3 linked regions of the Tamandua tetradactyla genome follow. The protein of the gene in region 1 purifies or fractionates together with the protein of each later gene. This does not show direct contact. Links are inferred from orthologs where the notes say so. Each region holds a gene or a part of one and is shown in the gene's direction. Other genes may lie near its edges.

What was found.
Region 2: the proteins of DNAJB11 (region 1) and SDF2 purify together in Homo sapiens (affinity purification with mass spectrometry; 3 studies listed by BioGRID and IntAct, counting the BioPlex papers as one, with this or other methods). This does not show direct contact. The link is inferred for Tamandua tetradactyla from reciprocal best matches to the Homo sapiens genes DNAJB11 and SDF2.
Region 3: the proteins of DNAJB11 (region 1) and SDF2L1 purify together in Homo sapiens (affinity purification with mass spectrometry; 3 studies listed by BioGRID and IntAct, counting the BioPlex papers as one, with this or other methods). This does not show direct contact. The link is inferred for Tamandua tetradactyla from reciprocal best matches to the Homo sapiens genes DNAJB11 and SDF2L1.

What each region holds. Positions count from the first base shown.
Region 1 is NC_135336.1:5,481,144-5,488,345, forward strand, and holds the start of DNAJB11 (dnaJ homolog subfamily B member 11), read left to right. Parts: upstream 1-4,188; 5' UTR 4,189-4,257; coding exon 4,258-4,294; intron 4,295-5,085; coding exon 5,086-5,125; intron 5,126-6,385; coding exon of another isoform or gene 6,386-6,397; exon of another isoform or gene 6,398-6,685; intron 6,686-6,791; exon of another isoform or gene 6,792-7,113; coding exon of another isoform or gene 7,114-7,181; intron 7,182-7,202. Other genes in the region: TBCCD1 (TBCC domain-containing protein 1), read right to left, coding at 1,491-1,826. UniProt on the Homo sapiens protein: As a co-chaperone for HSPA5 it is required for proper folding, trafficking or degradation of proteins.
Region 2 is NC_135332.1:51,869,158-51,876,624, reverse strand, and holds the start of SDF2 (stromal cell-derived factor 2), read left to right. Parts: upstream 1-4,449; 5' UTR 4,450-4,763; coding exon 4,764-4,914; intron 4,915-6,726; coding exon 6,727-6,923; intron 6,924-7,467.
Region 3 is NC_135331.1:26,318,975-26,325,982, reverse strand, and holds SDF2L1 (stromal cell-derived factor 2-like protein 1), read left to right. Parts: upstream 1-4,534; 5' UTR 4,535-4,576; coding exon 4,577-4,772; intron 4,773-5,157; coding exon 5,158-5,354; intron 5,355-6,085; coding exon 6,086-6,367; 3' UTR 6,368-6,490; downstream 6,491-7,008.

The sequences.
Region 1 (7,202 bases):
CAAAATTTATATTTTGACTAGTGCATTTCCTAATATAACTTATGTGAACAGCTTAATTGAACACCATAAGTACAGGGAGCCTTGAGTAGGGCATAAGATTTTCTAGGTTTGTCCAGAGTGATACCCCAATAAATCCCAGAGTGATCTGAACAGTGAGTAAAAAAGTATTTGCAAAGTCCCCTTGGGAGAATGGTGAGAAAGGAGGAAAATTCAACTTCCCCAAGTAGAGAATTCTTGATATTCTCACAAGCAGTGGGGACAACCAAAGCAATAGGCTGAGTCCTCAATTTTGGGGTTTGTTCATATGAAACTTAACCCCACAAAAGACAGACTAAGCCTACTTAAAATTAGGACTAAGAGTCACCCCCAAGAGAACCCCTGTTTTTGCTCAGATGTGGCCTCTCTCTCCAGCCAACACAACAAGCAAACTCACCGCCCTCACCCCATCTACACAGGACATGACTCGCAGGGGTGTGGACCTTCCTGGCAACGTGGGACAGAAATCCTAGAATGAGCTGGGACTCAGCATCAAGGGATTGAGAAAACCTTCTCGACCAAAAGGGGGAAGAATGAAATGAGACAAAATAAAGTGTCAATGGCTGGGAGATTCCAAAGAGTCAAGAGGTTGTCCCGGAGCTTATTCTTACGCATTACATAGATATCACCTTGTTAGTCAAGATGTAATGGAGGGGCTGGAGGGAACTGCCTGAAGATGTAGAGCTGTGTTCCAGTAGTTATGTTTCCTGAAGATGATTGTATAATGATATAGCTTTCACAATGTGACTGTGTGATTGTGAAAACCTTGTGTCTGATGCTTTTATCCACCTTATCAACAAATGAGTAAAACATACAGCATAAAAATAAATAATAGGGGGAACAAATGTTAAAATAAATTGAGTAGAATGAAATGCTAGTGATCAATGAAAGGGGGGGTAAGGGGTATGGTATGTATGAATTTTTTCTGTTGTCTTTTTATTTCTTTTTCTGAATTGATGCAAATGTTTTAAGAAATGATTATGATGATGAATATGCAACTAGGAGATGATACTGTGCATTACTGATTATACATGTAGAACGGAATGATCATATGTTAAGAATGTTTGTGTTTGTTGTTATATTTTTTAAAAATTTTTTAATTAATTAAAAAAAAAGAAATGTGAAAAAAAATGTGCACCCTGACTAACATATCAGTGGTTCATAAGCAGTCACACACACCAAAATATTTTTTAAATCAATGGAACTATTCTCCTCTTTCAGTTATAGGATTCACATAACATTATTGCTTTAGGATAAAATAAGGATGGGTGAGTAAGAAACAATTCATTAAATATATTAAATACTGACAAACCAGAACTGCCAAAACTCAAATAGACCTTTGGGATCACAATGGTCATTAGCCTAAAATAAACTATCCAGCTGGTACAAAGATCACAGATAAAGAAAGAAATTATTCATTTCCCTAACAATTTCACACACACAAAAATCCATACCTGATTTCTTTGCTTTTCGACTTCATCCTCAGATATGCAATTGGACATAACCTCAGACCATTCCAGACGCTCTTCGGGTGTCCTTTCCACAAGACTATCAAATACTTCAAAGTAAAGCCATGCCAGATCCTTAGCCAACTGCAGTTTCCCACACGCAATGTGCCTCCATGTAGACCAGTAGAGCCGTGGGAAAGCACTGCATGTGGCCCGGGTTCGCACATAGCTGGATATCTTCCTGAGATAGTGAAGGCTGAACTTGGATGGAGGAGGCACCTGTAAGGCGCCCACCATAAATGGTTCTGCTTTCACCCAAAGGAGAACTCCAGACTGATCCATGCTATCTCTAAGGACAATTGTGTAAAAAGTCTTCTTTGCATACCTAGGAAACAAAGTTTCTTCACAAACTGATCTGAAACAACAAAACTCATTTATAAATGTCTTAGAAGGTGACACCTCCCTTAACTGTTTTTAAATGTACTACACCAGTTTGAAAAGTAGCACTATTTCATCAACCAGAAGTAGAATAAAGTTTTTATTGGATTTCATTAAAATCTACTTGGGCAAGAAGATTTTTGCAATACAACAAAATTGTCTTGCTTGTATTGTTACTTTCATTGGCGATTAAAGGAAGAGTATGCAAAAGTGTATTCCTTGCTATTACTCAACCAGTCACCTAATTTTAGACATTTAACAGGTATAAAAATTTTTCACAAAAACAAGATAGACAAAATATTGATCACTTTTGACGCTGGGTGATGGGTATACTCTACTTTTGTGTATACTAAAAATGTCCTTAATAAGTTTAAGTGTTTTCAAAATTATAAATAATGCTGTTTACCATCTTTCTGCATAGCTGCTTCTGCATTATAAATGATTTCCCAAGGAAAATTATCAGATGTGTATCTGACAGATGAAGTAATACTGACATTTTTGAAGCTCCTGACATATATTTCTATTGCTTTCCAAAATTTTACCAAATTGTACCATCACTTGACCACAGTACTCTCTTCATTGAATACTCCTCACCATTAAGTAACATCATCTTTAAAAAAAAAAGCCTTTCCTTATAACTATGCATCTTTTGGAAATTGTTCAAAAAAATAATTGATTGTCCATGCAAAAACTTACGTACAAATGTTTATAGCAGCATTATTCACAATCACCAAAAGATGGAAACAACCCAAAAGCCCATCAACTGATGAATAGATAAACAAAATGTGGTATATCCATACAACAGTATATTATTCAGCCATAAAAAGTAATGAAGTAGTGATGAATGTTACAAGATGAACCTTAAATATACATTATGCTAAATAAAACAAGCCATTCACCAAAAAACACATATTGTATGAAATGTCCAGAACAGGGAAACCTATGTAACAGTAAGTAGGTTGGTGGTTGCTTAGGCCTGGGGGGGAATTTTCTCATAATGGAAAACATGATGTGAAAACTAAAGACGAAGAGGTTTCTTTTAATGTAATGAAAACGTTCTAAAATTCACTGTGCCAATGGTTGCACAAATCTGTGAATATACTTAAAACCCTTGAATTGTGCCCTTTAAATTGACGAACTGTAGATGAATTATATCTCAATAAAGCTGTTTTTAAAAACTGACACTAATCCAGTGCTTACTATATGCCAGGCAGCATGCTAAACATTTTGCGTACTTCATGTTTTCATCCTCACAACACCTCCATCTCATTTACAGATGAGGGAAATGAGGTTTAGAGAAGTTAAAAGACTTGACCAAAACTGCATAATTAGTTCGCACGGCCCTAGATTACAATTAAATGTTTCTCTGACTTGAGAATCGTGTTGTTACAGATGTACTTTGGGAATTCAATTTGGATGAACCTTTAATAAACGGGACGCCGACTATAATAAAGAGCCTTAGACATGAGACCAAATAAGGGCCAGGTGAAGGAGTTTGGGATTCTGAGCCAAAAAGGCGCGTGGAGAGTAAACAAGTCTTCCCTAAATGGGCAAGGCTTAATATCGTTCTGAATACAACTAGAGGATGGTTACAGGAGGAAAATCTTAGTTCTTCCCAAAACGTAAATAGGCTGCTCTGAAGTGTGCAATCAAAAGCCAAATCCTACGGATGTATACTCTCTAAGGTCTCTTCTAATTCTGCAACTCCGGAGGTCTAAACTCGCAGTCAAAAGCCATATCCTAAGGACGTCCTTTCCAAGGTCTCCAAATTCCGGAAGTCGAAATTCACAAACAAACATATCCTGGGGCCTTTACCTCTCCTAAAACTCCTCAGGGAGACGCTGGCGTTAAGGTTTCTCCGGCGGGGAGGCCGGCGTGTGGACAACGGCCGGGCCGCCGCCTAGAACACAGCCGGGAAAAGGCGGCGGGGACGTGCCAGAGCCCTGATACGGGAAGCCCGAGCTATGGAAACAGAGACGCCCCAGCTGACAGGGTCCGAAGCGCACCCTGGCTTCGCGTCTGGGAAGCGCGAATACACCCTTCTCAATCCCAGCCTAAAACTTGACCCATTCATCCCTCTCCCAGCCCACCAGCCACCGACCGCCGCGCGCTGTTACCTGCGAGCGCAAAGCCCCTACACCCGGGTTCCCAGCGCGCCTCGACACCCAATGCGCATGCGCGGGGGCTTGTATCACCGAGAAGCAGCAGGCGGCGTTGCTAGAGCGCCGCCTCTTCAGTGACGGAGACCAATTGGGAGGCCTGGAGTCCTCGATGAGGAGCCAGACCCGGCTGCTCTCTAGTGGCGCGTCTTTCCACCCAGAGAATAAGTTTTCTAATGCTCTACAGAACCGTGGGTCTGTCAGTAGCGGCTGGTAAGGTCAGCACGCTTTGATAAGTAATAATGATTATGGCAGTTTAGATTTATAGAGCGCTTATTATGGGCTGGGCACTGTGTAAAGCACTTATACGTGCATTTTTTTTCAGTCTTCCCAAGAGTCCATCAAATTAAAAACATTTGTTATACTGATGAAGAAACTGGGATTGTAGAGAGATTTAAGTAACACACCCCTAAGGGCACACAATTAGAGAAGAGCCAACATTTAAACCCAGGCAGTCGGAGATGAAAGCCCCTTGCGTTATCTCCTTAACTCTGTTAGTTTTCCTGCCGTGTTACCGTCTTCGTGAAGATTTTTTTTTATTCCACCCAGCAGAAGATATCACCTCTTATTTATGATTTGTGGCCTTTTCCTGCTTTTCTTTGTTCCTTTATGGCCTCTCTTGGTGTGGGGGATACAAAGGGATATAAGACAAAAAGTGTAGTTTACTTCCTCATTTACGTGGCTTCTCTCCCTAAGAGACATCTTCCTAAAAGTAGTAAACCATGTCTTCCTCTTAGTCCCACATATGTGTAGATGCAAAAAACAGGGACTTCGATTCAGACAGACCTGGTTGAGGATTCAGGCTGCACCATTTACTAGCTCATTGACCTTTGGCAAATTTTGTCACTTATCTATGTCTTAGTTTTCTGCCAACAGCAATAATTATTCATCGAGCACCACTGTGTGCCTGACACAATGCAAGGCACAAGGGTTACAGCAATGAACAAAACAGAGAGGATCCCTGCTTTCTTGGAGTGTATATTTTCCATTTTTTTTTGGCACAGGCAGGCTCTGGGGATCGAACCCGCGTCTCCGGTACAGCAGGTGAGAATTCTGCCACTGAGCCACCAGTGCACATCCTTCTTGAAGTGTGTATTTTAATAGGAAGAATACACAATACATATTGAGGAAATAGAATAATTTCAAATGTAAAAAGTGCTATGAAAACTGGGAGGCGGGAGACTAAGAAGGCCATTTAATAGGGCCGACATTTGAGCTAAAGCCTAAAGAAGCAGCCATATGGAGGTCACAATCAAAGCAACTAGTCATCCATTTACCAAAAAAATAGTTGTGTGCCTATTCTGTTCTAAGATACTAGGGGTATAAGAGTGAATATAACAGACCAGATTCATGATCCTGTGGAACTGACATATAAGTGTGGGGATGTGAGGGTCAGGGATGGAAACAAAATAGGGTGTTGTGAGAATAAGGGATTTGGTATGTGCTAATTTTGATTGGATGGACAGGGAAGTCCTCTCTGAAGTGACATTTAAACTGATATAAGAAAGGAGTTATCCATGTTAGGATCTGAGGGAAGAGTGTCTCAGGTAGAGGGAACAGCTAGTACAAGGACCCTAAGGCAGGAATGAGCTTGGTGTGTTCAAAAAAGAGAAAAGAAGCTAGTTTTGTTGGCAGTATCCTAGGTGAGAGTACAGGTCATGTAAGGTTTCATAAGGTAGGGTAGGAAGAGTTGGAATTTTGTTCTACGTGTAATGAAAAGCCATTTGGAGCTTTTAAGCAGAGAAGCCACATAATCTTAATTATTTATTTATTATTTATTTTTGTCGTTGGGGAGTGGGGAGCGCAGAGGCTGAAAATGGATGGTAGGATATTAACAGTAAAGGCAGGGACGTCAGTTAGGAGTCCCTGTCAGGGAGAGATGATATTGACTTAGCCCAGAGAGGTAGTGGATATGTAGAGCAGTGCACCAGAGATTCAGGACACAGTTAAGAGGTAAAGAATTGGACAAGTGATGCAGGAAAAGAATCAAGAAAGGCACCAAGAATTTTGTCCTCAACAACGAGGTGGTGCGTTTACTGAAATGATCAAAAGTAGGTGAAGATTGGGACGAATCAAATAGTTCCATTCATAACTGCAATAAGTTATTATTCATTGCGTGCTTACTATACGCCTGATGCTGTGCTAGACAATTTACAGATTTCCTAACATTAAAAACTCACAACACTTCCAGTAGTGTTTTGCCCCAATTTTGTTCATCAAGTACCTTAGGCTCGTCTTACGGTTAAGAAGTGGTGGAAGCCGAATCCGAACCTAAGTCTATCTACCTACATCAAAGATGCTCACCTTAGGCACCATGGCTTTTTCTCTGTAAAATTTTCTCAGGAGATTGTTTGGATTATTTAAAATAAAATCTCTTAAGCAGTGGAACCGATGTACATTGAGCCTGGAATAACTGTCCCGCCCATTTTGCCGTCATCCTTGCGTACTGGCGTCCGGAAGGACGCTCAAAATGAATGAAATTCCGAGACATGTGACCTAGAAAAAGCCTTCCTCCTGCAATTGGTCGGTGCTGGAGGAAGCGCCCCGTGATTGGTGGAGAGTCCAAGGGGCCGGGCGGGAGGACCTTCTTGTGCCTCCGGTGTCCTCCTGTGGCACCCACCTCCCCCCTCTCTTTACGTAGTTTTCTGCGACAGGCGGGGCTGCACGGCTTCCTGCGGCGGCGCGACACTCTGACGTCTTCTTTTCTAATTGGCCGAGAGCTGGGGCTGCTTAACTGGAGGTCGCGCCGCCTCGGAGGTGAAGTGTACTGCTCTGATTGGCTCCGCGGCGCCGGCCGCGTGTGATGTCCCTAGCAGCGATTGGCTCTCGTCCGCTGGGGGCTTCTTTCACTGGGATTTGGGACTCCCGGGAAGTCGACCAGCGAAGGAGTGGGCAAGCTAGCTGTGGCTGCGGACCGAGGAGGAGACCCCCGGCGTGAGGTGGCCTCACAGGGCCGTGCGGACTGGCTAGCGGAAGTGGCCACGGGGGAGACGGCGAGGAGTGCGTGAGACCCGGGCCGGGACGGAAGAACTATGGCCCCGCAGAACCTGGGCACCTTCTGCCTGTTGCTGCTGTACCTCATCGGGGCCGTGATCGCTGGGTGAGGGACAGGCATCGGCAA
Region 2 (7,467 bases), on another chromosome or scaffold:
CTTCTTCAGGCAGAAGCACAGCTGCAGTACAAGATGTGGCTCACAGGGAGAGGCTGGTGGTTACCATGACAGTCTCTGGAAGAGGAATGGAGCTGGGATCAGATTGCCACAGGGGAGGCCATGGCAGTCCCTCCCTTTGAACAAGAAAATGGTAGGAGGCAACTATGAGGAGACTAGAGCAAAAAGAGATCTCGTCTAATTTCCTTCACTCTGCAGTTCCAATCCACATATACTGTTTTTGTTTTGTTCTGTTCTGTTTTTTAGGGTAAAGGTCGGTGCTGGGCCTTGGATATATAAAAATGATTAAAATAAACTTCTTACCCTGGTGAAGATCATAATCTATCTCAAAAAAAAACTTGAAAATAAACTTATGGCAAAATGTAATAAATGTTATCTTAGAGTTATATACAAGGGCTATGAGAACAATGTGAGGAGGGAGGCTGGGGGATGCCTCAGAAAAGGGGATCCCTGAATCGAGAGGGCAGTTGAGAAGATAGTCTGGAAAAAGGCAACACGAGCAAAGCCTTAGGCTTGAAAGAGCCTCGTGGTCTGGGAAAGAGCCAAATGTCTGGGGTGGGGTTTAAACTAAAAGGCATAACACATTCTATATTTTATGAACAAGGGCCTAGATTATTTCAAAGGTATTGAGGAGTGAACACTCAATTTGGAATAAAGAAACCCAAAAGTTAAAATAAAATAATTCAGAGTCCACTGAATTCAGAGTATTTAAAAGACAAGTGTTTTTAAATTTGGGATTCACAACTCTTATGAACAATCTTAACTGTACTAAGCCAAGGTTTTAAGATACAGAAATGGTTAAATTCACCTGTAATCATTTTAACATGCACATCGTATTACAGGAAATAACAGTCTTTAAATCTTTTCAATGCTAGTGTATAAAAATATAATTGTTTAATAATAGCTCCTAACATAAAAAATTAAAAAATAGTTTTTAGCCCTTTTCTTTCTATTTTTCTTCGGGGAAAAAAGAAATAGCAAAAGAGGAGCAGAAACAACTAAACCCTATAATGAGATTCAGAACCTCTGCAACACAGGGAGAAAGTAGCAATTACTGAGGCTTGCAGGGAATACAAAGCCCCTGCTCAAGCACAGGGATTGGTAAACTTTTCCTGTATACTACAGGACTAGATCTGCTGTTGTAGCACAAATGAAGGCATAAATAATATGTAAATGAATGGGTGTACCCTAATTTGGCCACTGATCTTGAAGTACAGGTCTTTAAAGAACTGATGAAGGATATCAAGAGAGAGTATAACAGGGAAACTGAATCTGGCTTTTGAGGAAATGACTTTAAATAAGGACCTAAAGAGTGAAGAGGAGTTAGCTAAAAGAAGGAGCTGGTTTGGAGATGGTAGGGGGACTGCTGGTGCTGAAAAGTGTGCCCAGAAAAAGGCCTACCATGTCCTGGGGGAGTCATAGAGAGGGTCAGTCTGGGGAGAGGAAGGTTCACAACTGAGTTGAAAGTGAAATCATAAGAACCTTTGGAGGGTAAGTTAAAGATCTTGGACCCTACTCTAATGGTGCTGGGAAGTTACTGTAGGGTTTTAAACAGAGAAATGATTCACTTACTTGCCAATTCAACTATTATGTGCCAGGCATGTATTAAGCAGACAAGGTCCCTACACCTAGGATACCCATATTCTGATGCAGGAGACAAACCACAAACAAATAAATAAACTTTCCTACAAGTGCTATTAAGGAAATAAACAGGGTGCTACCTAGATAGGGCAGACATTTCTGAGAGGCTAAGTTTAGACTAAGATGCGAAGAATGGGTAGAATGTGGCATGCTGAGCCAGGGGAGGAGGTTCCCCCTAGAAAAGGTGGGCAAAACTGGGTATATGATAGGTGATGTCCTAAGGCCAGTGTCACTAGACTATGATGAAGGCAGGCAGAATGTAAGAGGGAGGATAGTTCAAGTAGGGTCATGAAGGTCACAAAAAGCCACTGGAATAGTTTTAAACAGAGAAATGACATGACCTGAACTGCCATGATCCTCCTGCACAGAAAATGGAATGGAAGAGAATTTGAATGGAAGCAGGGAAAACTGAGGATGCTTTGAGGTAACCCTGGCAGAAGATAATAGTGGCTTGAAGTATGTTGGTGGTAGTGAAGATGGAGAACAGAAGACAGACTTGAAATATATTTTGGAGGTAGAAGTGACAGGACTTTCTCAAGTACTTGTGTGTGTGTGTGGGGGGGGGGGGAGTAGGAAGTGAGGGAGAAGAATCAAAGATGATTCCCAGAGGTCTGGCTCTGGTATCCATACGGATGGGCGCGTCACTTAGGAGATGGGGTAGATCAGCTTTAGAAGCATGGGATACCCAAATTTTCATCTGGGTATGTTAGGTTTGAGATGTCTAAGAGACATCCAAATGGAGTTATCAAGTAAGAAATCTGATGTATGATTCTAGAACATGGGGAAGAGAGGGCTGGGCCAGAGATTTAATGTAAGAGTTGCCACTTTTCAGATGGCAACTGAAGTCATGGAACTGGATCACCTAAAGAAAGCATGTACATAGAAAATAGGACACAGGCTGAAATGTTGAATGAATGTCAACATTTAGACATTAGGTAGAGAACCAAAGAGGCTAAGAAAGGAGACAGAGAAAAGGCAACCAGAGAAATAGAGAAAATCCAAGAGTGAGATGTTCTAGAAAGGATAGCATGTCAAGAAAGGAGTAACTAATTATATTGAATGTCTCAGAAACTGAAGAAAACAAAAACAAAGTATCCACTGGATTTGGCAACACAGAAATTACTGGTGACCTTGACAAGAGCAATTTCAACAGAGTATTCAGAAAAGAAGCCAGAATGGAGTAGACTGAGGAGTAACTAGAAAGTTGAATTGGCACAGACAGAAGTCTGGCTATGAAGGGCAGTCAAAAGTGTGGGATGGTAGTGAGGGATCTAGAATATAATTGTGTGATAACAGGAAAAGATTTCTATGGGGAGGTAGAAAAATCAATATGATTTGGTGATTGAGCATATTTGAGGAATAATGGAGAAGAAGGATCCAAGAATTATACGTAAGTTTCTGATGGTGATGCCATTTATTGAGACCAAGAATATAGAAGCAAAGGCAAATTTATTTTCTTTCAAAGATGGTATGTTTCTACTACACTAGCTAGGTCTCCGTTCTTGAGAAGGAGGGCTTAGGAGGGAGATCTTTAATGAGTCTCTCCAGACCTCACTACTTCCTAGTGTGATGAATCTCTTGATGAGGTTAAAACCTTAAGGAATAATGGTAATATGTTAAATCTAATCTAGCAGCCACACAGGCGAACTGAATAAAAGGCCCTACATTCACAGCTGATCAGGGCATAACCATGCTTTTGTAAGTAATACAACGAAAACTTGCAAACTGGTAACTCTGAGACAAACAGTGGAACTAAGCTTCCCTCCTACCCATCACCCCCTCACAAAGAAACTAACCAAATTACCAAACAATGTTATTTACACTTCATGTTCATTAATAGCAACAGTTCAGCTTAATAAGACCTTACTACCTCCGACACTACAGTGAATTCCCACCAAGCATTTGCAGAGACCTTAAGGCCTCCCCTTAAAGAAAAATAAGTATCAGTTCTTACAATGCAGAGAAATGAATTGCCCCAAATGGTTCAAGGTGTCTGGAGAGGAAGATAGAAAATGGAAGAAGAAACAGTTTTAACTTTCTATTCTGATGCTCCTCATAGGCATTTGGCAAATGTTTGAGGAAATGAGTCAATGGAGAATGGACGAGCTTCAGTCTAAAAAGACTTTAGGTACAGTCTTTAGAAAAGGTTAAATGATGAAAACACCCTCAAGAGGTTCTAATTTTATGCTTCAAAAACACGAGAAAAGCTGAAATTTGGCATGGCCTTTAGCCTAATGGCTTAACTACTGAAGGCTCTGTAGGATTCACATCCCCAGAGCAAACAATTAGATCATCTAATCCCAGCTCAGGAGCTTCCATTCGCGTGGCCCAGTTTTCAGAAGCTTCAGAGAGAAGGACGGGATACCAGCAAGCCTGTTGGTTCAACAGGCCACCCCAATTCACAGGTTCCCGGTGCTACCGGATTGGGAAAAACCTTAAGATTTTGAAAAGCTACCCAGATTTCCTTCCTCTCCTTCTTCATGGAACAGAGAAGGCCAGGCGCCCCTTCTTCCCGCATACGTCTTTCCAATGCCTCTGCCCTTAGGAGACCAGGCCCTAGGGGCCTGGTTCCCCACTTGACCCATGCGAGAAACCCGCTCTCCAGTCCGGGCTTTACTTACCTGGCTCCCGCCGCTTCTCCGGAGCGGTAAGTCCCCACCGAGGAAAATGGAGTCGTCGAACCGAGACTGGTAAAGGATAGTACGGACCCACAGCACGGCCCCTACACCGCCACCGCCACCGCCGCCGCCGCCGCTGCTGCGTCAACGTGCTACGTCACTTCCGGCTCCCTGTCATTGGGAGTGGGTTGGCCATTTCTTGCTCCCTTTTCCCGCAGGGATCTTGGGGCCTTTGTCCAGGGGAAAGCGGGGAAAAAGGTAGCAGAAGCGGTTCAGGAAAGCAAATGTCACAGAGCCCCGGAAACGGGGCGAGGAGATCGAAAGCAACCAGGTCCGGCCGGTTTCTCAGGCCGCTCTAGCCAAAGGAACCATAAAGACCAAACCTCGGACTGCTTCACTTCCTCCTTTCAGTGTTTCTGCCTGCAGCATCCGGTTCCGGGGAGGGGCCGGGTCTTCTAAGAGTAGGGGCTTCGGAGTTCAGCCAGGATGGCTGTGGTACCACTGTTGCTGTTCGGGGGTTTGTGGGGCGCTGTGGGAGCGTCCAGTTTGGCTGTTGTTACATGCGGGTCTGTGGTGAAGCTACTTAATACACGCCACAACGTCCGGCTCCACTCACATGACGTGCGCTATGGGTCAGGTACTGCGGGGGACCGGGTTTGGTTCTGGTAGGCTCCGGAGGGAGTGGGGCCTAGAGAAAATCTGAGGAGGGTCTGGAGATTCGGTAAAACTTAATTGGCTAAAGGCATCTTAATCATAGTTTTTCAATTTTTAAAATTTCTGTTAGGTAGATAGTATTGTTATTCTCATTTTACAGATAAAGAAACCAAGAGAAATTAAATCGCTTGCTCAAAGCCTTGCAGCTAGTGAACGGCAGAGGCGGGTTTTGATCTAAATCTGTCCAATTTCAAAGTCTACTTTCAGCTATTCTAGGCTGGCATCACTCAGTGCGCTAAAGACAGAAACGTAGATATTACAGAAATGTAGATAGAAATAAGTCCTGTATTTTTGAAGTCTTGAATGCCAAAAGCGCACTTTCTGACCATAACCTGCTGTCTTCCCAGCTCTTTCGCATGTTATACTTCTTCAACTCCTACCCTTTGACCCCTTTTTGCTTGGATCTTACTCTCCTTGTAAAGAACTTAAACTAAAGCAGTGACAGGAATTGAAGAGGAAGCTGATTAGAGGGCTTTTTACCATAAAATTTAAATGCTCATTAATCAGTTATTTGTGGGTTCATTGATTCTGCATGGATTTGATGAGCTAATACTAGGTGCTTAGATACAGGAAATATGGTAGTGAACAAGTCAAGCTAAGTACAAGAAAACAAAAGTAGACGAAAAAAGAAGAATTTAGCAAGTGAGGCGCAAGAGGAATCTAAGATGATTGTCAGATTTTGGTCTTGGATGACTGATGATGCTAGTAACTAAGAAAGGAAGGAGTATCAGAGAAAAGTCTTGGGAAATATGGGATACCTTCAAAGAATTGGGTAGCAAATGGTGTCTAGGAAAGAAGATGTCTCTGGAGTTTATTTGAGAACAGCCTGCTTTGGGGAACTTGACAGAATATAAAATTGGACGAGGAAAAATGGCTTGTGGGAGGCCATGTGGTGGAGTGGAGCATCAGGCTGCCTGTGTTCAAACCCCAGTCCTGACTCTTGGAGCTATGTGACCTTGGGTACCTAGCTCAGGAAACAAATACTTGTATCAAATAAGAATATTCAGGCAAAGGGTTTGGGTTGGTGCCTAGCATCTAGTAAGTGCTCAGTACACATTAGCAACCTGTAGCTAATAATGATCATTTGTTTTTGTTGTTGTTGTTTTAAACTTGTAGCTATATGTTTAGTGCAGTACCTTTTAATCTGTAGAATTATACCACTTTGAGGCAGCATTATCTAAATTTAGATGACTCAAAAATACTTTCATAATAAATTGATAGACCATTCATGGGAGTTTTGGAGCTGTAATGGCTGCTTGGATTAAAGTTGACAGCAAAAAGTGGTCTCGTTTTAATTGTGAAATGTGATAATTTTTATTGTAATATACACTTAACACTGAATAATATTACAAACATGTTAAAATTATGTGATTAGACACATGGCATATACTAGGGGCTATACAGGTTCATATATAAAGGTAAGCACTGCCAGTGCTTCCAAAAAACACGTATATTTGCGTATCTAATGCTCTTTGGTGCAAATTCTTGAAATTTTTTAAAAGGACATATTCTTAAGTATAGTTTTATCATACAATAACTAATACTTTATTAATGTATTTAGTATTCATAGTTTAATGTTTTAGAAGAAAAAATATTACAAAGCATAATGTTTCCTCCCTGTTCTTCTATACCTATTTATGACATAAAACACAGTACTGTCCATAGGAAAGAGAAGGGTCAGGTTGAGTTCATTCTCCTTCTTTTTTTTTTTTCTCCATTCTTTTTTTGACTGTAGGTAGTGGGCAACAGTCAGTGACGGGTGTAAGTTCTGTGGATGACAGCAATAGTTATTGGAGGATACGGGGCAAGACTGCCACAGTGTGTGAGAGGGGAACCCCCATCAGATGTGGCCAGCCCATCCGGCTGACACATGTCAACACTGGTCGAAATCTCCATAGTCACCACTTCACTTCACCTCTTTCTGGAAACCAGGTGAGGTAGCATCCAGTGGATCATTTCTGCTTTAAACATTACTCAGTTGGGTTGTTGTTTGATCTTCTGGTTCTTAGTTCTTTCTTTTCCAGGTGAAGATGTTCTCTTTTATGCACACTTGGAGAAATGACTCTGTCTCTTTCTTAAGTGTAAAGAGAATTGTTTCTGGTCAAAAGGGAGACTTTATATCTAGATCAAATCAAGAAATAGAAAGGAAAAACAGAATAAGTATATTGTAAGTTCTGATAAATCCTGTTGTAATGTGTAATAATGTAATAATGAAACCCAGTGTTTTCCATGCTCACAATAAAAATGATGATTGTTTTTTAATAATGTGAACTAACTGTGGCACCATTGTTATGAGGTAGCGTTCTATAGGGTTACCTTTGGCAACCTCCATATTAGGAAAATGAATTCGGTATTGTGCCACTTATTTAAGCCTTGAGCCTTCAGGGTATGTGGACGTCTTAATGACTATTTCTCCCCCTGTGCACAGTTTCCTCTACTATTAACATCTTAACATTACTATGGTACATTTGTTAAG
Region 3 (7,008 bases), on another chromosome or scaffold:
AAAAGAAGCACTGAACATCAGAGTGATAAGTCCTTGGGCATTTATTAGGCTCTCCCTTACAGACAGCTGCAGCTACCTCGTGATTCACAGTGAGATGGGTGCCAGCTTGAAAGTATCGGGTACCCCGAAAAGCCATGTTTTGATCCTGATCCAATCTCATGAGGGCAGCTGTTTCTTTTCATCTTGATTCAATACTGTAGGGTGGAATCTTTTGATTAGATTATCTCCATGGAGATGTGGTACACCTAATTGTGAGTGTGACCTTTTCATTGGATGAGATGTGACTCCACCCATTCCGGGTAGGTCTTGATTAGTTCACTGGAATCCTTCAAAAGGGGAGACGTTTGGGAGAGAGCCAGAAACGACAGAAGTGACAGAAGTCTCAGAGCCGACAGAAAGTTCACAGCAGAGCTGACACAGATGCCAACACGTGGAGAACAGAAACACGGATGTTTGCAGATGCTTGGAGCCCAGCAGATGTCACCATGAGATGTTAAGCAAGCCAATGCCTGGAGATGAAGCCAAGAGATGAAAGCCAGCCCTGGAGAAGCAAAGTGAGGAAGTCCTACAGGACCAGAGGCTGAAAGCAATGGATCCCAGGAGCAAGGGATCAGCAGGTGCCAGCCACGTGACTCCCCAGCTGACAGAGGGGTTCCTGAGCCATCGGCCTTTCTTGAGTGAAGGTTACCTTCAAGTGTTGGTGAGTGTTGTGTTGGTGCCTTAATTTGGACATTTTCACTTTCTAAAACTGTAAACTTGTAACTTATTCAATTCCCCTTTATAAAAAGCCATTCCATTTCTGGCATATTGCATTCCGGCAGCTTGCAAACTAACACAAATGCCAAGAGGTTCACTCGAGTATATGTGTGCCCATGGCAACCGCTCTACAGATTAGATATGTTGAGACACACCTGTGGCTAAGGGCCAGGGGCCTGTGTGCAGATCTTGGGAAGACATTTTGGTATGTGCTCTTTTCTTAAAACGAGATGTGCTCAGGGTGGGCAACATCCAAAGTTATAGCAGCTAAAGCTTGGCATGCTTCTGGGGGGTCCAAGGAGGAGGGCAGGGATACTGTGGGTCCTTGCTCAGCCAGGAAGTGCTCTATGTGTCACCCAACATGTTGATTTTAAGATGCATAGAAAGGACACTGTGCCATTTTGAAACTGTTGTAGACCCCAGAAAAGCCATGTTCTTCTTCTTTTTTAAAAAAATTTTTTAAATTAATTTTTTAATTAAAAAAAAATTACAGGAAAGAAATACAAACATTCTTAATATATGATCATTCCATTCTACATATATAATCAGTAATTCACAATATCATCACATAGTTGCATATTCATCATCATGATCATTTCTTTGAACATTTGCATCAATTCAGAAAAAGAAATAAAAAGACAACAGAAAAATAAAACGAAAACAGAAAAAAATTATACCTACCATACCCCTTACCCCTCCCTTTCATTGATCACTAGCATTTCAAACTAAATTTATTTTAACATTTGTCCCCCCTATTATTTATTTTTATTCCATATGTTCTACTCATCTGTTGACAAGGTAGATAAAAGGAGCATCAGACACAAGGTTTTTACAACCACACAGTCACATTGTGAAAGCTATATCATTATACAATCATCATCAAGAAACCTGGCTACTGGAACACAGCTCTACATTTTCAGGCAGTTCCCTCCAGCCTCTCCATTTCCTCTTGGGTAATAAGGTGATATCTACTTAATGCGTAAGAATAACCTCCAGGATAACCTCTCAACTCTGTTTGGAATCTCTCAGTCATTGACACTTTGCCTCATTTCACTCTTCCCCCTTTTGGCTGAGAGGGTTTTCTCAATCCCTTGATGCTGGGTCTCAGCTCATTCTAGGTTTTTTTCTCAATCCCTTGATGCTGAGTCTCAGCTCATTCTAGGTTTCCTGCCCCACATTGCCAGGAAGGTCCACACCCCTGGGAGTCATGTCCCACATAGACAGGGGGAGGGTGGTGAGTTTGCTTGTCGTGTTGGCTGGAGAGAGAGGCCACATCTGAGCAACAAAAGAGGTTCTCTTGGGGGTGACTCTTAGGCCTAATTTTAAGTAGAAAGCCATGTTCTTTAATCCTCATTCAGTATTGTTGGCTGGAATCCTTTTGATTAAGTTGTTTCCATAGAAATGTGACCCACCCAATGGTGGGTGGCACCTTTTGATTAGATGGTTTACATAGAGATGTGTCTCTGCCCATTCAAGGTGGGGTTGTTTACTGGAGTCCTTTAAGAGGAAATATTTTGGATAAAGCTCTAGAGCTGACAGAGCCAACAGGAGGCCCAGACATTTAGAGATGCAGAAAGAAAATGCCCCCGGGGAAGCTATTGAAGCCAAAGGACCAGCAGAGGGCAATCACAGGCTTTCCCACATGACAGATATCAGCCTTCCTCTTGTCAAGGTATTATGGCCTTAGAACTGTAAACTTGCGACTTAATAAATCCATCCCCCCTCCCCCGCTTTTTTTTTTGTATGGGCAGGCACTGGGACTTGAACCAGGCGAGAACTCTGCCTGCTGAGCCACCATGGCTCACCCAATAAATCCCCTTTTTTCTGGTGTATTGCATTCTGGCAGCTCTAGCAAACCAAAACAAACATGTTCAATGCTTCCAAAATCATGCTTTAGCCTTCCCCCCACCCCCATCCCAGACCAGAGGCCCCTCAAGTGCAGGGTCTGTTAAATCCTTTAACCAGTGAGACACCCTAAACGCAGAAAACATCAAGATGCCCTATTTCTTGGTAATTTAAAACAAAACAAAAAAACAGTATTAAACCTGAAAATCCTAAATTTAACCTGTTGCTAGAATTCAAGTGGCTTTCTCTGGATTTCCCAAATGCAAAATTCTGGATGATTTCATTAGATATGAACTTTTCTCCCTGCCTCTCTGGTGCCCCAAGCACCAAAGTCAGACTATTGGGTAAAGCAGCCCAGAGCCAATTCCCTCTTGGCTCCCTGCACTGGGCCTGGAGGGAAGTTGGCAGGATGCTCCTGTAATGAATAAACACTGGAGTAAGTTTTCCTCCCCCACCAACTGAGCTGACAGCCCTCAGGGGAGGCAGCAAGCCTGGGACATATCCAGGAAATCTGGGACTGGCCAGACCATCACTCAAGCTTGGTTCCTCTCATATCTCTTTGTCCTTGGACCCTGGATTCTGTTGGGGGAATGTAATAAAAAACAAAATCTCCTGCCAACCTTTAAACATCTCAGCATAAAAGCAGAGGAGAAAGAAAACCATTTCATGATTGAAGAAGTGTAAAATCAGAATGTAATGTCTTATCGCGGGAAACCCGCTAGAGACTGAAGTGACAAAAAGGAATTTTATACATTTCCATACCACACAACTACAACTCATTGCAAGCATGTTCTCAAGATAAAGATAACACGTCCTCAAGCATGAGCACCAATTTTTCAAAGATGCCTAAAATATATCCTAAAGCCACCTGGCCATTGGGGCAGCCAATGTTGCTTAAATGCCTTCATCCAGAATTTTCTCATATCTTTGATACTGGAGGTAGGTAGGTTTGTAACTTCGAGCCGATCCTCCCTTGGAAACTGGGAGATAGGGGCACTATCTTCCTAGATGATTAACATTTCAAAGAGATAGCTCCCAGGTCCTTGAGAAGGAACTTTCTGGATTGTAAAGCTGGCAGGGGGGTTATTTAGCTTTTTTAAAAAATTCACATACAGGGGAAGAATTTAGGATGACAAGCTTTCTAAAGAAAATGTTCTAAAAAAGGGAATGTGCATGGTGAGGGGAATCTCTGTCCCCCCCCCCCATTATTTATTTATTTTTATTTTTGCACCAGGGAAAATTATTATTTTCTATTTGTATTTACACTTCCAGTCCCTAAAACAGCTTTGGTGTTTCCTGGCGAGAACCTGCCATTATTCTAAACATCACAGCTCCCTGCTGCCCTCTGCTGCCCGATGGCCAAGTGGACAAGGGATTCTGCCACAGAAGGATCCCGGCACAAGAGGACCGGGTTGGCTGAGGTGACCGAATGTCCGGGAATGACCGGGTGGCCGATTAACCTCAGGGTCACCCCAGGGACCGAGGGACTACAAGATTCGATAACTTTGGGGTCCACTGATTTAGGGATCTGGAAACCTCAAGACCTTGCAGCTGCGGGCTCGGTGTCGTGGGAGAGAGTAATAATTGAGGGCAGGGGTGTCCAAGGTTAGGGAGCTCCGTGGACCCCGGGGTGCGAGGGGTCCCGGCTCCGCAGCCGCCCGGCGCTCACCTGCAAGCGCTACTCCACGCGTTCCTACCGTCCAGCACCGCCCACCCCTCCCTTGCCTCTCATTGGTGAGCCCTCGTAAGTGAGGACCAATCAGAACTCTCCTCGTGTCTCCAGCCCCCTCCCAGACGCTCTCCGAAAGGCTCGGGGGCGGGTCCCCTCCACGCCGGCCCAATGGCTGTGCAGACGGGGCGCTGCGTGGGCCGGCGATTGGCCGCGGCGGCCAGGCGCTGTCAGAGCCGGATTGGCTGTAGGCGGGGGCGGAAGTAGCCCTGGGGCCCGGGCTGCCGCAGCCGGGGGACCAGGGCGATGCGCAGGGCGGGCTGGGGTCGCGGCCGGGCGGCGGGATCCGCGGCGCTTCTGGGGCTGCTGCTGGCGCTCTTGGTGCCCGGCGGCGGGGCCACCAAGAGCGGCACGGGAGTCGTGACCTGCGGGTCGGTGCTGAAGCTGCTCAACACGCAGCACCGGGTGCGGCTGCATTCGCACGACATCAAATACGGATCTGGTGCGCGGGGCTGGGCCGCGAGCCGGGGCCCTGGGGATCTCCAGGGGGTCGGGTCCGGGGTCTGTGTGGACGCCGATCGCCGCGAGGATCTCGCGTTGAGGAGGGGCGTCGGGATATTGGTGATGGTGGTTGGCGCGGGCAGGGGGGGATTGCAGGCCAAGAACTTGGGGGTGTGTGTGTGTGGTGATCAGCCGGGAGCCAGGGGTAGGGGGTCGGGTTGGGCTGTTGGAGTCGTCGGGGGAAGTCGATGGGTGTCGGGGGCAAGGGTTGGGAGGACAAGATGGGTGTTGATCCCCTGTGGCTGGGTGGGGAGGGTCCTGATCTGAGTCAGTGCCCTTGATCCTTCTCTCCTGTACCGTCTGCCCCCTCCCCGCCCCACCCCCAGGCAGCGGCCAACAGTCGGTGACCGGCGTCGAGGCGTCCGACGACGTCAATAGCTACTGGCGGATCCGCGGCGGCGCGGAGGGCGGGTGCCCGCGCGGGGCCCCGGTGCGCTGCGGCCAGGGTGTGCGGCTCACGCACGTGCTCACGGGCAAGAACCTGCACACGCACCACTTCCCGTCGCCGCTGTCCGAAAACCAGGTGAGGCCCCAGCCCGGGGACCCCCACCTCCACCACGGCCGATATGTGTGTGTGGGTGGGTAGGAGAGGGGCATGGGCCGGGCAGGACCTCAGGACCCTAGCCCCCACCCTCTCTGAGCCTCCAGCTTCCTCATCTGTTAAATGGGAATTTCAGTTCAGCAGTGTTTGCCGGGCACACCCTCTGGGGTGACAGGTGATCCCCCCTCCCAAGAGCATCCCGGGGGACCTGAAAGAGAGCTCTGCCAGGATAACCCCTCTCTGGGGAGGCGTTCAGGGGAAGGACTCCGGCTGGGTGCTGAAGGATGAGTAGGAGTTTTCTGGGCCCTAGTCCAAGAAACTAGTGACTTTCCAGGCCCAGGCGGAGAGGTGATTGGAACTTCGATGGGGGTGCTTTCTGGGAGGGGTAAAGAGAAAGTTTGGGGTAACTAGAGACCTTGAGTGTCAGCCTGGTGGGTTGCAATCTTAGCTGAGGCTTGGTCCAAGTGAGTAGTGAGGACCCGCAACCATGGAGGAGGAAATGGAGGCTGGGAGTGCATGTGTCTGTTTGAAGATCCCCTGTTTGGGATGCTGGGCTTGGGGTGGTGGAGCCCCGTTCTGCAGCGGTAAAAGCCAAATCTCAGAGTGGGGCTGGGAAGGACAGGTACCTCTGCCAGGCTGGCAGCTGCAGGGAACTCGGTCTGTCCTCTGTAAGTGACCGCTGTCCCCACTCTCACCCCGACCCCCACCCCAAGGAGGTGAGCGCCTTCGGGGAGGATGGCGAGGGCGATGACCTGGACCTGTGGACGGTGCGCTGCTCCGGCCAGCACTGGGAGCGAGGGGCCGCCGTGCGCTTCCAGCACGTGGGCACCTCCGTGTTCCTGTCTGTGACGGGTGAGCAGTACGGGAGCCCCATCCGTGGACAGCACGAGGTCCACGGCATGCCGAGCGCCAATGTCCACAACACGTGGAAGGCTCTGGAAGGCGTCTTCATCAAGCCCAGCCCGGAGCCCTCCGCGGGTCACGACGAACTCTGACTTCCTGGATGGGTGGGTGAGGGAGGCAGAGAGTCCAGGCATCCTGGGAGCCAGGCTCGGAGGGGACTTTGGGTGTAGGGGGTGTCCGCAAGTGCCTTTGCGATTAAAGAATGTTACTCTGTGGTTGTGTTTCTCTGTGAGCCTGGCGGTTGTCCTCCCTGATCCCATGCATTGTCTTTTCCTTGTTGTAAAACTCCTGTCTACCAGCCCAGCCTGACTGCCGAACCCACCCAAATCTGGCTGTGCTCTTTTTTTCCCAGCCCTCCAAAGCTGAGCATCCCAAGTTTGGGGCCAGCCCTGGTGATCAGAGCCCTCTGTCCACCCTTGGATTCTCTGATGGAAGTGACCCCAGTTTCCCAGCCCCTGAATTGCATGAACCTTTCTGTTAAAAAAAAAAGACAGAGCTCAGGCCTCAGGGCAGGGGGATCAGAGGAGCCTCACTTGCTACCAGCTGGGATGGGGCACAAGCTCTCCAGCCCCCTCACCCCTTGGCGAGAGCCCCCTTCTCCTAGCACCCCGAGCCTTTGGGGCTGCCTGTGACACTTGTCTCTGATCCAGGGCTCTGCCCATCTGCTGAAAACTAGCATCATAGCTTACCTCTTCCTGGTCCCTTCCCGCTGCACAAGCATGTCCAGTCATGG